2 linked regions of the Drosophila melanogaster genome follow. The protein of the gene in region 2 interacts with the protein of the main gene of each other region in a pairwise test. Each region holds a gene or a part of one and is shown on either strand. Other genes may lie near its edges.

Region 1 (5,806 bases), on a different chromosome or scaffold from region 2:
CCTGCGGCGTTTTCCAACACCAATCAGTCCGGCTTGGGCTGCCAACCATAAGAGAAGCGCTTATGGGGTTGCCACATCTGTTTGTTGCTCACCTTTAAAAATAGCTGTTACATTTGAAACTAAAAAAAAAACGTTTTTAAAGTGAAAATTTGCTGCACCTTAAGCTTCATCGGCTAAAACTAGTCTGTCCTGAAACTAATTTGATATCTATACATCAATTTTATGCTAGCGATGATATACTCTTTGTAATCGAATGATATTGCCTACAATATCTTTTGAAAAAAGGAACAGTATGCTAAAGAAAGATTAGCATATAGAGGCCAAATTGGCCATCCTACGGAGGCACCTAAGAAATATCAGGAAAAGCAGTTGCAACCTAGATCAGCCCCCATGGATTGATAGTTAATGGTTTTTATTTGTGAATAAGAGTAGAGTATAATGTTGGGTACGTAATGAGTACAAACATCAAGCAATTGAATCAAACATTTGCATCGCATGCGTAACAATTTCGTGTATAGTATGTATAACATTTATTTTGTAATCCGCTTCTGCTGGGCTTTTTGCTTAATCGAAAATCATTGAAGAAGCCGCCGAATTTTGACTCCGGCTAATATGGCGATGTGATGGGTGACTTTGCAAAAGTAGAATCATGGTGGTGGCTTACAAATAAAATAAATCACAATCTATATGTACATAATACTAAAAATGCCTAAAACGCTAAATCAATTAAAACGAGGAGTTCGTCTGCAGTCCAAAATTAAGGTTACAAAACAATGACCGGCTACAAAATAAGCACATTTCTGAATCCGCTTCGAGAGTGTCGCAGGTTGCAGGTTGTTTTGTCGGTTTTGTCGGTTGTCTTCCGAATACAGCTAACAGATATCCATATTAAATGAGTTAATGCCTTGATGGGGAACCATATCCTCCTCCACGCCTACTCAATGTCGTGGAAACGGAGGATGGCGCGTCCGGGTATCTCGGAGTTGCACAGCTTGGCGATGACCTCGGCCGCCTGCTCGCAGGGGAAGACGGAGTGCGGCGGCGGCTCGATCTTCTTGTTGGCTACCAGCTCCACCAGCTCAGCCAGCTGCTCGGCGGTGCCGTTCGAGATGGCGATGATCTCCTGCTGGTACTGCTCCGACAGGCGCGAGAACTTGGGCAGCAGCTTCTCGGCCACCTCGTCGCTGATCAGCACAACGCCGCCCTTCGACAAGCAGTGCATCGAGCGGTGCAGACTCCTGGAGGTTGTGCCAAAGTCAATGACCACGTCCACGGCTCCGCCGCACACGTCCTTGGTGCGCTCGATCAGCTGCGGCTCGTACAGGCATTCGTTCCACTGGACCACGCTGACACTGGAGGAAGGAGGAGGATGTTAGATGGTTAGAGCATGACACATCAGAGGGACCTCAAGATGCTTACTTTTTGATTTCTGTGGCCAGGCGGAAGCCCTCGTCCCGCAGACTGGCCACTGTGATGTCCACGTTGTCGGCTCCAGTTGTGGCAAAGTGATAGGAGGCGATGCGCACGGCCCAGAGTGCCAGGCCGCCAGTGCCCACGATGAGGATCTTGGGCTTCCGCTTCGGCTCCGTGGCAGCCCGCTGGCTGAGAATCTGTGTGACAACGGCCTGAGCCTTGAAGACGGCATTCCAGGCGAGCAGGGCGCCCGTCGGCAGCATGGCGGCCACCTCCATGGGCAGACTGTCGGGAATGGGCACCACGTGCTTCAGGTCCGGCACGACCAGCAGCTCGGCATAGCCGGCTGGGGTCTCATCGAACGGATAGACGATCACGCGCTGTCCAATGCGCAGGCCACGGTTGTTGGCCTCGGTGATCTCCGAGCCCAGGGACTCGATGACGCCGGCCACCTCGAAGCCGGGAAAGAAGGAGCCCTCCCGGATGCCCTGGTGTGCGGGCGAGGACATCGAGTTCACCGACGGACAGTAGTCGCTCAGCTCCGAGGACACTGAGGACATGCTGGTGATGGAGTTGGCGCGATCGCGACGACGATAGCAGGCTCCGGCGCAAACGATCCGGATGCGGGCGCCCAACGCCGGCGTGTCCTCGATGGGCACGAAGAAGTTGAAGACGCAGTTCTTGGCGCCCGGACCGGGCGACTCAATTGACACTTGGCGGCACAGCTTGTTCATGTTGTGCGTACTGTGTGTACTGTGTGGATTATGGTGATCGGGATCCGTTGGCGGCAGAACGGAAGTCAGGGACAATGAGTTCAGCGACAACGAGGTATCTGTTGTTCCACTGCAATCAGACAAAGGAATGGATACATCATATTTAGAGGTGTTGCCATTAAGAATTAAATGGTCACTAAACTTGGCTTGCTCATTTCGAAAATATATCTTTGTATCTTTGTACATATATTCTGATTTTTAATTGATTATCCCTTGAGAATTACCCTTTATTTGATAGCTAAATATATTTAAAGATATGTATATCTCTGATTGTTTTTGATTGCTATAGCTTCGATTGCGTATTACATATCCAAGGTCGCATTGCGTAGTTCTCAATAGTTTCAATGCCGCCTCATGATATGGCAGTTCTATTTCGCCTTTCCTATATACAAACACTCTAAACGACTATCTTGATCTTCAATGCCAGCCACAATTCAGAGTTCTCGATGTAAATATCATTAATGTAGCTACTTTTTGTGTGCTGTAATTACAGTGAGCACACATCTAAAAGGTCAAGTATTGGACTTGCTGACAATCCAGATACGAATCACTCCACATCAATAAACTGACAAAAGATAGAGCTAGAATCGGACACATTAGATTTGGTTAATATACAGCAAAGCCGGAAAGCCATGGCCATAAAGATATCAGATATAATATCGGATATTAGTCTGGTCTGAAGTCTGGCGCTTCAATTAGTTTGATAAGAGATGGTGACGAATCGTATCATATCAGAGCTTACTCCACTTGCACTTTCGTTACTTTTCTATGATTTCAACTCTGGAAGTGCTCAATTGAAACCATAAGGGATCAGTTTTTATCTCAGTGCACCAGCTAGCAATAAATGCCACATTATTAAAAAACAAAAAACAATTATTTATACTTAAAATTTACACAATTTTTTCCCATTTGTACTTTTTTGGGAGAATTTATGACTCAAAACTGTGAGTAAAATCTCTAAATTAAACACGCTATTAAAAACTAATAAAAATTAAAAGAAATCCTAAGACTCAAGATATTTTCCCGATACATATTGCATTTTCACTTTAGAGGCCATGGTAATTGGAAAACTCGATTGGGGAGAATGGGGAAAATTCAATCAGCATCGTTTAATAGTTTACCTCATTGAACTGAGCAAATTGTGCGGTTGACTGCATATATCGACCGGCATTTTGCTGTCCTCGTAATTGTTCTCTGTTAATTTTTTCACTTTTTTTTTTTTTTTGTTTTTTTGCACTACTGCAACTCAACTGCGTTGTGTATTTATTATACAAACTGACTAACACTTTTACTTGTGAATTGGCTAGATTTTTCTTTAGCTGCAATTGCTTCTCGGCGCTTTTCCGACGACTTGACCAGCGCACTTCCAAAGAACATCTGAGCCGCTTCACTCGATGCGGCAGCTAAAAAGCAAAAAAGCCGGTGACGAAATGGAACGAGTGGAACTCTCACACAGCCACACACGCACTCATCACGCACAGGGGCCCAGCAAAGGGGGTCGCAAATTCATCTATCCAACAAATAATATTGTATGCCATTCGTGGGTTTACATATAAGCATACATATAAATTTCGTTTTTAAAGATAGTGGTAAAAGATTACTCACGGAATACTATCAACCTTTTTATCTCAGTTTTGAAAAACTCTCTTAAACCTTTACTAAAAAGCATCAAATAAATTCATTTATCCCTGATTACATTAGATTGCAAAATGTAAACTTAAGTTTAAATTCCAACAGCACTCTTAGTTGCTAAATTTAACTCCAAAACTCTGCTTACTCAGCTTAGTAATCCTTAACCCCTTGGTTAAACCATCCGCACGCCACTGTGTGCTCACATACACGGCACGCAGGGAATGCGTGAAACATTTGAAATGAGTGTATTCATTTGTGTGGATTGCATGGCCGCATTTGCATCTATAGAAATGCATTTCCATATTTTGTGAATTTCGGAGCATTTCACATTTATTTATAGACAACTATTACTTACACCACTGGAAAATAAACATTCTATTGCTTTTGTTTAATGTTTTGCATATATTTTCAATAAACATTCATAAATTCCTCTAATTGGTTTTTGAACTTCTTCTATTGATATGTACATATGTTGATATCAGTTTGCCCAATATTGTAGCAGTGTACTTGAACCAGATTGTTGTTTATCTTTTGTTTACACATTCGAATTAACACGGAGGACGCAGAAGTCGAGAGAAAAACAAGCCCACAGGCAGAGCAATCAAAACAATTTAATAAAGAACAACAAATGCATTAGGCAAACGCGTGCGACAGATTTATGGCCAAAACAAAGTCCAGGAGCTGGCCAAAAACCCCTCCAAGAACGGAAGCCATCTAGAGCACGTTGCCAAGTGGCCATCGGATCCGTTTATAGAACTTTCGATGACAATATGTTCTTCTTAGAAAGCTGCTAGGCAGATCGGAGGAGGATGCCCCATTAGTCACGTCACGATTTGATTCTCATCATTCTCGGCGGGTGGTAACAGTTAATCGCAAGCAAAGCGTTGGACTCCAGTGGAAAATGGAAAAATGGAAGCGGTCTGCCTCGAGTGGAAATTTATCAAATGCTTGCAATATGCAATTAAAATGCGTCGTGCGGCCTTCACTCGAAAGCCAAATAAACAAACAACTTACATATGCATGGTGTATAGATAGATAGATACTTACAGTGTTACTTTATGAAAGCGAATGTTCTAAGCTTTTCAGGTTCTGGGTATTTAGCTAAATCTAGTTACATATCTTCTTTTTGGTAAGAAAAATTATTTTTGTCGGTACTCTCATTTTGTATCTTTATCTCAATCAATGCATCAAACTGTTAGCTTGCTGTATCTATGTATGCATCTGTGTATCTACGTATGTCGTGTGTGCGCACCTCTAACTGTTTGCGATTGTTGTTGCTTGTGTTTGCGGAGCGAGGAACGGTGGATGTTTGCATGGTAATGAAACGTTGAGAAGAAACTGATAGGCGTTGGTGAGGGGGCAGCGGCAAGCAAAACAAAACCAAAGTCATGTACACGTGCTCGCTGCATGATAATCACGCCTGAGTGGCATGCCCAGACAGTGAGTGAGTGAGAGAGGGAGCGCGTTGTTTTTCTTTTCTCTCCCTCACTCAATTTGTCTCTCTGTCTCGCTCGCTCCTTGGCGCAGCACGAATGCATAAATGGGCATCCTTCCTCTGCTTTGTTGTTCTTCTTTGTACGGCCCACACAACAACAATGCGTAAATAAGCCGCTATAAATACGCCTTACATTTACGCAGTTACGTTTTACACATTTGCATCCTTACCAAAAAATGTATGTACGTACATACATATATGTATATATTTACATTTATACATATGTATGTATTACTTTTTGGGGTTAATCAACAGCCTCAAACACTGAGAAGAATTATTTTCATAATTAGGCAGAACTTCAGCAAAATGGTCAAAACAAGTTACTTATTGGTGTTAACAACCCCTATATCAATGAATAAGTACACATTTACTTATTATTAACTTACATATGCCATATGCAAACATCAAATATGTATATTAAATCATTAACAATGAAATTTCTTGCAAAAACACAACAAAGAATAAGATAAGATTTATCATCGTTTCACTTTAC
Region 2 (5,243 bases):
TGTATTGCTGGCTTCTTCGACGACATTTAGAAACTAAGATAAGAACTAAACACTAAACTAGGTCAAATGTACAATTACATAAATAATAGCTCACAAAGTGCGTTTCTATATCAAAAGGAAAAAAAAAAACAGTTTATTTTTGTTTAGAGTTTACCTGCTTAAGTGTTAACAACAAACAAATTCACTAAACAAAGACAAGCAATACATTACAAAAAAAAAAATCAGTAATATAGTGGCTAAATATATCATATTTATATTTATATATATGTATGCAGTATTATCATATAACGCTTCGTAATAGGTTCTATATAAACATTTACAATTACAGAAAGGACACCGTAGCATTACCTAGTAATCCTCTCTCTCTTTCTCTCGCTCGCTCTCTCTCGCTCTCTTCCTTTCTATCCCTCTGTTTCTGTCTCTTCTCTAGCGGCTTGTTTTTTGTTGCTTTTTTCGTTTTCGTTTTTGCTTTAACAATGTGCGGTTTTACAGTTTCTCTTTCCGTTGTCCTGCAGGATATGCTAGAATGCTTGTAGCACAGTAGTATAACAGTTTCTTTTCTCACTTGCTCTTAAGTATCTCCGTTTTTTTAGGGGGGTTTCAGGGGTCTTTTGGGCAGGGAATTACCAAAAAAAATTTGTTGTTTCAATCGAAATCGAAAAGAAATTCGCTTCACAAATTGTACTATATATACGCAAACATATACATTATGTTTTTAGTGTGTGTATATTATGTTTTCTTGTAAAATATATATATATATAATAGCATAACAAATTTTCAACAAAAATCGAAAATCGATCCATAATCATTAAGCATAGTGTTTTTTCTTCTTCTTTGTTTTCTTTTACTAGGAGAGAAAGAGATAGAATGCCACAGATCTTCTGTCTCTTAGTGGGGGGGTTTCTGTTACGCTTGTGTTTGTAGTGAAAAACCTGGTTTTTGCCTAATTAAAATACTAAAGCCAAGTCGCGCCAACTCACAAATGCCCTACGTATGCACATATAAGTTTTTCGTGGGCTTTTCGATTACTTTTCGTCGTGGCAGCTTCATTTTTTCATATCGTTTGGCTATAGGGCTTTTGTGAGTTAGCGTGGCTCTACTGTAATTATTACGCATACGCCACCGTGGCCGTTTACTAGGTATTTCTCATTTGCTCTGCTGTTTTTGTGGTTGTGTGGGTGTGTTGCTGTATCTCTTAGGACTGCTCCAGCTGCTCCAGCGGCTCCTCCTCCTGGTTCCTGATCCAGCTCCAGCTCCCTATCCATCCTACTTCTTGCCATTGAGTATGTCTTCGCGACAGGCGACGGCCGCCACCAGGGCAGCTCCACGACCGGAACCGTCCTCGGACAGCATCAGATCGAAGGTGATGCCCGGCTTGATCAGCTGCGAGATCTTCTCGACCATCAGGTTATGGAACTTGGGATGGAAGCGGTACACACTGCCATCGACGCCCACCGTCACCGTTGGCTCGTCCATTTTGTTGATCAGCGTGGCAATGCCGGCGGACACCAGGTGGGCAGCCCGTTTCGAGACGCACTCGCAGATGTACCGCACATTGGCGCAGTCCCCGTCGGTGGCATTGGTCAGACCGAGCTCCTCCAGCACCAGGCGGCAATTGGTGAAGTTGCCTGGCTCGTCAGCTTCAATTTCGCTCACATACTTGGTGAAGAACAGTCCGCGGGTGTTTAGCACTTCGGAATCCTGTCCATTGAAGAGTATACCCGCCTGGGTCATCTTCACCAGCACCAGACGCACCAGCTCGCCCATATACATGCCCGATATCATCTTCTCGAACGTCTGCTTGCCCGGATTGATGCTGTGCACATCGATGTCCCGATCGAATTCGGTGCGCACAAAGTCCAGTGCGCCATTGTCGCCGAATGCGCCCCATTCCGTGTTGATCAGGACGTGCTTCTTGCGCGGATCCTCGGCGGCGAAGAGCTCCGCCTCCTCCACACGCTCCATATAGCAGGCATTTGCACCGGTGCCGACAATCAGACCGATCTTGCAGTTGTGATTCTTCCAGGCGCAGCTCATCAGCGTGCCAGTGGTGTCATTGAGTATGGCACACACATCGATCTGGACATCGCCGCGCCGTGCGATGGCATCCTTTAGCAACTGGACAACATCCTCGTTGACGACGCCAGCGCAGTTGAAGCCCTTGGTCCAGGTCTCCAGCAGGCCCTTGGTCAGACCCAATTGGCGCAGCGGGAACGAGAAGGTGAAACCGAGTGGCAAACGCTCCTTGTACACATTGTGCTCGGCCATAAAGTTGGACAGACATTCGGCGATGTGATCGAATAGCTGTGTACCCGATCCAATCATAATGTGCTGCGGTATGGCATAGATGCGGGACTCCATTTGAAAATCGTTGTTCTCCTGCAGATGGATGAGCAGCACCCGGAAGTTGGTGCCACCCAGATCCAAGGCCAAGAACTTGCCACGCTCATTGCCATTGGGCAGATCCTGCACATACGTTACGAAGCACTTGACATTCGCCTTGGGATGTGTATCCTTGGCCAGGCCGCGGCGCAGCTCGTGCAGGATGCGGTAGCACAGCTCCTGCACCTGTTCGTCCGTTAGAAGCAGCTGCTGACATAACTCGTGCACCATCTTACTTTTCTCTGCAGCGGATAAGAGTGCAATTTGCTGCGGGCTGTGAGTTGTAAGATTTGTGGTTGTGGCTGTTGCTGTGGTTGCATTTGTGGTCGCTGTCGCTGATTTTGTAGCTGCCGCCGTCGTTGTTGTAATTTTCTCTGTTGCACTCAGTGCCGCCCCCTGTGCCACGCCCACGCGGTCCGTTTCATCTAGCCCGCCACCGTTATTGTGACCATTCAGTTGGGCGCTATTTATGGACACGCTCTTCATCGCCCCGTTCAGCTCCCGATCCATTATTATGTTGGTGTTTTCCTGCTTGTTTTTTTTTTCCTTTTTTCTTTTTTGATTCTCTCTGCCTTTTTTCGGTTCTTTCTTGCTCTGGCTGTTTTTCTTCGATCTTATGCGCTTGCACTCACACGGCAAAAAAAAAACGTTTACAATTTTCGTATTCGATGTGCACACTCGCGTTGGCTTTTCTACTTGGGCATTTGCAGTGCAACCTTTTCGAGTTGGTTTCAATTTTGAGTCTTTGAGTGTCCACACACACGATTCTCGCTCTCGCCGTGTTTTATTTTCGTCCGCTGCACGCGTCCAAACGCTCGGAACGTTTTTTACGAAATTAAATTCACTCGCCGACTGGTGCTCACTTTTCGCTGTCGCTGCTGCTGCGCTGCCGGCGCCGACCGCGACTGCGAGCCGCGCTCACACTCTCACTCTCTCTCTCTCTCGCTCGCCGTGAAGGAACCTTGAAGGTCAAAAACTGAAAATCGGTTTTGGGGCGGCATGGTTGGAGATATGGCGTGTATATGTGCGACGCTGAGGGGTCCACAAATGGCATATTGATAGGGTGCGCGTGAGAGAGGGGGCGAGAGAGTGGCTATGAATGAGAATGAGTCAAACGCGTGTTTATGCGGAAACCCTTATGCGTCGCGTAAGCAATATCGTGATCACGCATTTGATAAACATTTTAATTTGTCATCTCAAATATAGTCAATATATTTCAGGCTTTTCTCTTCAAGGAAAAAAATTATTTTCTTAAGATGTTAATGGTTTAATTAATGTTAATGGTTAATGGTTTTGCATTTCTTTGACAAATTAAATTGGTCGCCTATTATCACTGTGTTAAATTTGTTTTGATATTAATTACGCTATTAACTAACTAATTTACAACATTTTTAAGAAATATCTCGTTCTTATCGTGCCATAAACGCGGAACTACAAGGGCCTGGCGGCGACGCTCTCTCTTTTTGCTTCCGCTTATGAGAGAGCCGCCTTTTGTCGTCGTCAGCAATTTGGCTGATATTGACACCCTACAAACTGTGGGGTGCAATGGAATTTCTGTGGCACAGAAATGTATTATATATTATATAAATATATAAGAAAAAACAGTTTTCTGATTTTGCAAACAAGTTATTAGAAAATATTCAGTATACGTTTATTACTCATACGCCACCTAGGCCCAATAAATTATCTCTTTTGTATTAAGCTCAAGCTAAACATGTAGACTGCCTTTATTATAAATTGTGTAAGGAAGAAGGTCAAAAGTAAGACCACAGGTACAGGTAAGCACCTGTACTATATTTACCATTGTGGGTCGCCAGTTAGTACGCAAAATTTTTTTATTTGATAGAGACACATGTATTTATATCCATTTAATGTCGGTAGCGCATTTAAAAGTAGCCAATAGGATTTTTCGTTGCTGCCTGCGTATTGGCTTCGTTCTTTGAACCCCCTGTTCGGCGCCGGGCCCCACCACCCGCTTTCCCACTCTCAGCGATCTCGCTCTCCCTCGGCATCGGTGTTAGTATAACAATGCCGTTTTAGATGAGAAAGAGCAAGGTTTACCCAGAAAAATGGGAGAGCAAGTTTGCGTAGCTGTTGACAGCTACCTTCCCCTCCCCAACTCCCCTACCATCATCGTCTCACCCGTTTTTACCGCTTCTTGGAATTCTCAAGTTCTAGCGACGCGTCAACATCCTCAAATACATATATCTTTGCATTTGTATGTATTTTTGTTCAGTGTCCGTGGGGCTCGTCTCCCCGCCCTGCCCTCTTTTGTGTGTGTACGTGCCGCCCAGTTTGAAGTTCCGCTCCCTCCTTCTCTCACTCTCTTCCCCTCTACTTCGCTCTTTCTGGCTCTCCATTCAATGGAATTTTGTTGTTTCATATTTTTGCAGCTAGATTTCATGTGCAATTTCCATTCGGTGCTGCGTTTTTGCATTGTTGTTTATGTCTTGTGATCTTTTTTGTTTTCCAGCATTTTTTCCAAAGAGGCTCGTCCGTAATTGCAACAACAACGAGTAGAGCGTTTCCAACTACAAGTGAGAGTGCATGTGAACATACAGGCTTACGAACGTATGTATGTCTGTATATCCATATGTTTGTAGGAATGTATGTGAGAGGGCATGTCTGCAAACGTGTGTGCTGGCATGTGGCCTCATAACTGTTATACAAGACCAGACACCAACAGTCGGGGGCCAGAAACTAGCACCTAGAAGTCAGCTGGCCATCAGTTTTCAAGAGAGCATTAAAAAGAGAAATCAACATGACTTTGAAATAATTGCCGAAAGATAAAACAAGAATTAAAAGATATATTTAATAGAGAATAATAAAAAATGATTAGTTCGCTAAGGCTTCTTCAACTA

What was found.
Region 1: the proteins of Hex-A (region 2) and Drat interact in a two-hybrid assay, tested with the Drosophila melanogaster proteins (one large-scale study listed by BioGRID).

The regions. Positions count from the first base shown.
Region 1 is NT_033778.4:7,525,721-7,531,526, forward strand, and holds Drat (death resistor Adh domain containing target), read right to left. Parts: upstream 3,571-5,806; 5' UTR 3,358-3,570; coding exon 3,308-3,357; intron 2,257-3,307; coding exon 1,420-2,256; intron 1,353-1,419; coding exon 935-1,352; 3' UTR 515-934; downstream 1-514.
Region 2 is NC_004354.4:9,583,868-9,589,110, reverse strand, and holds Hex-A (hexokinase A), read right to left. Parts: upstream 3,222-5,243; 5' UTR 2,893-3,221; coding exon 1,267-2,892; 3' UTR 710-1,266; downstream 1-709.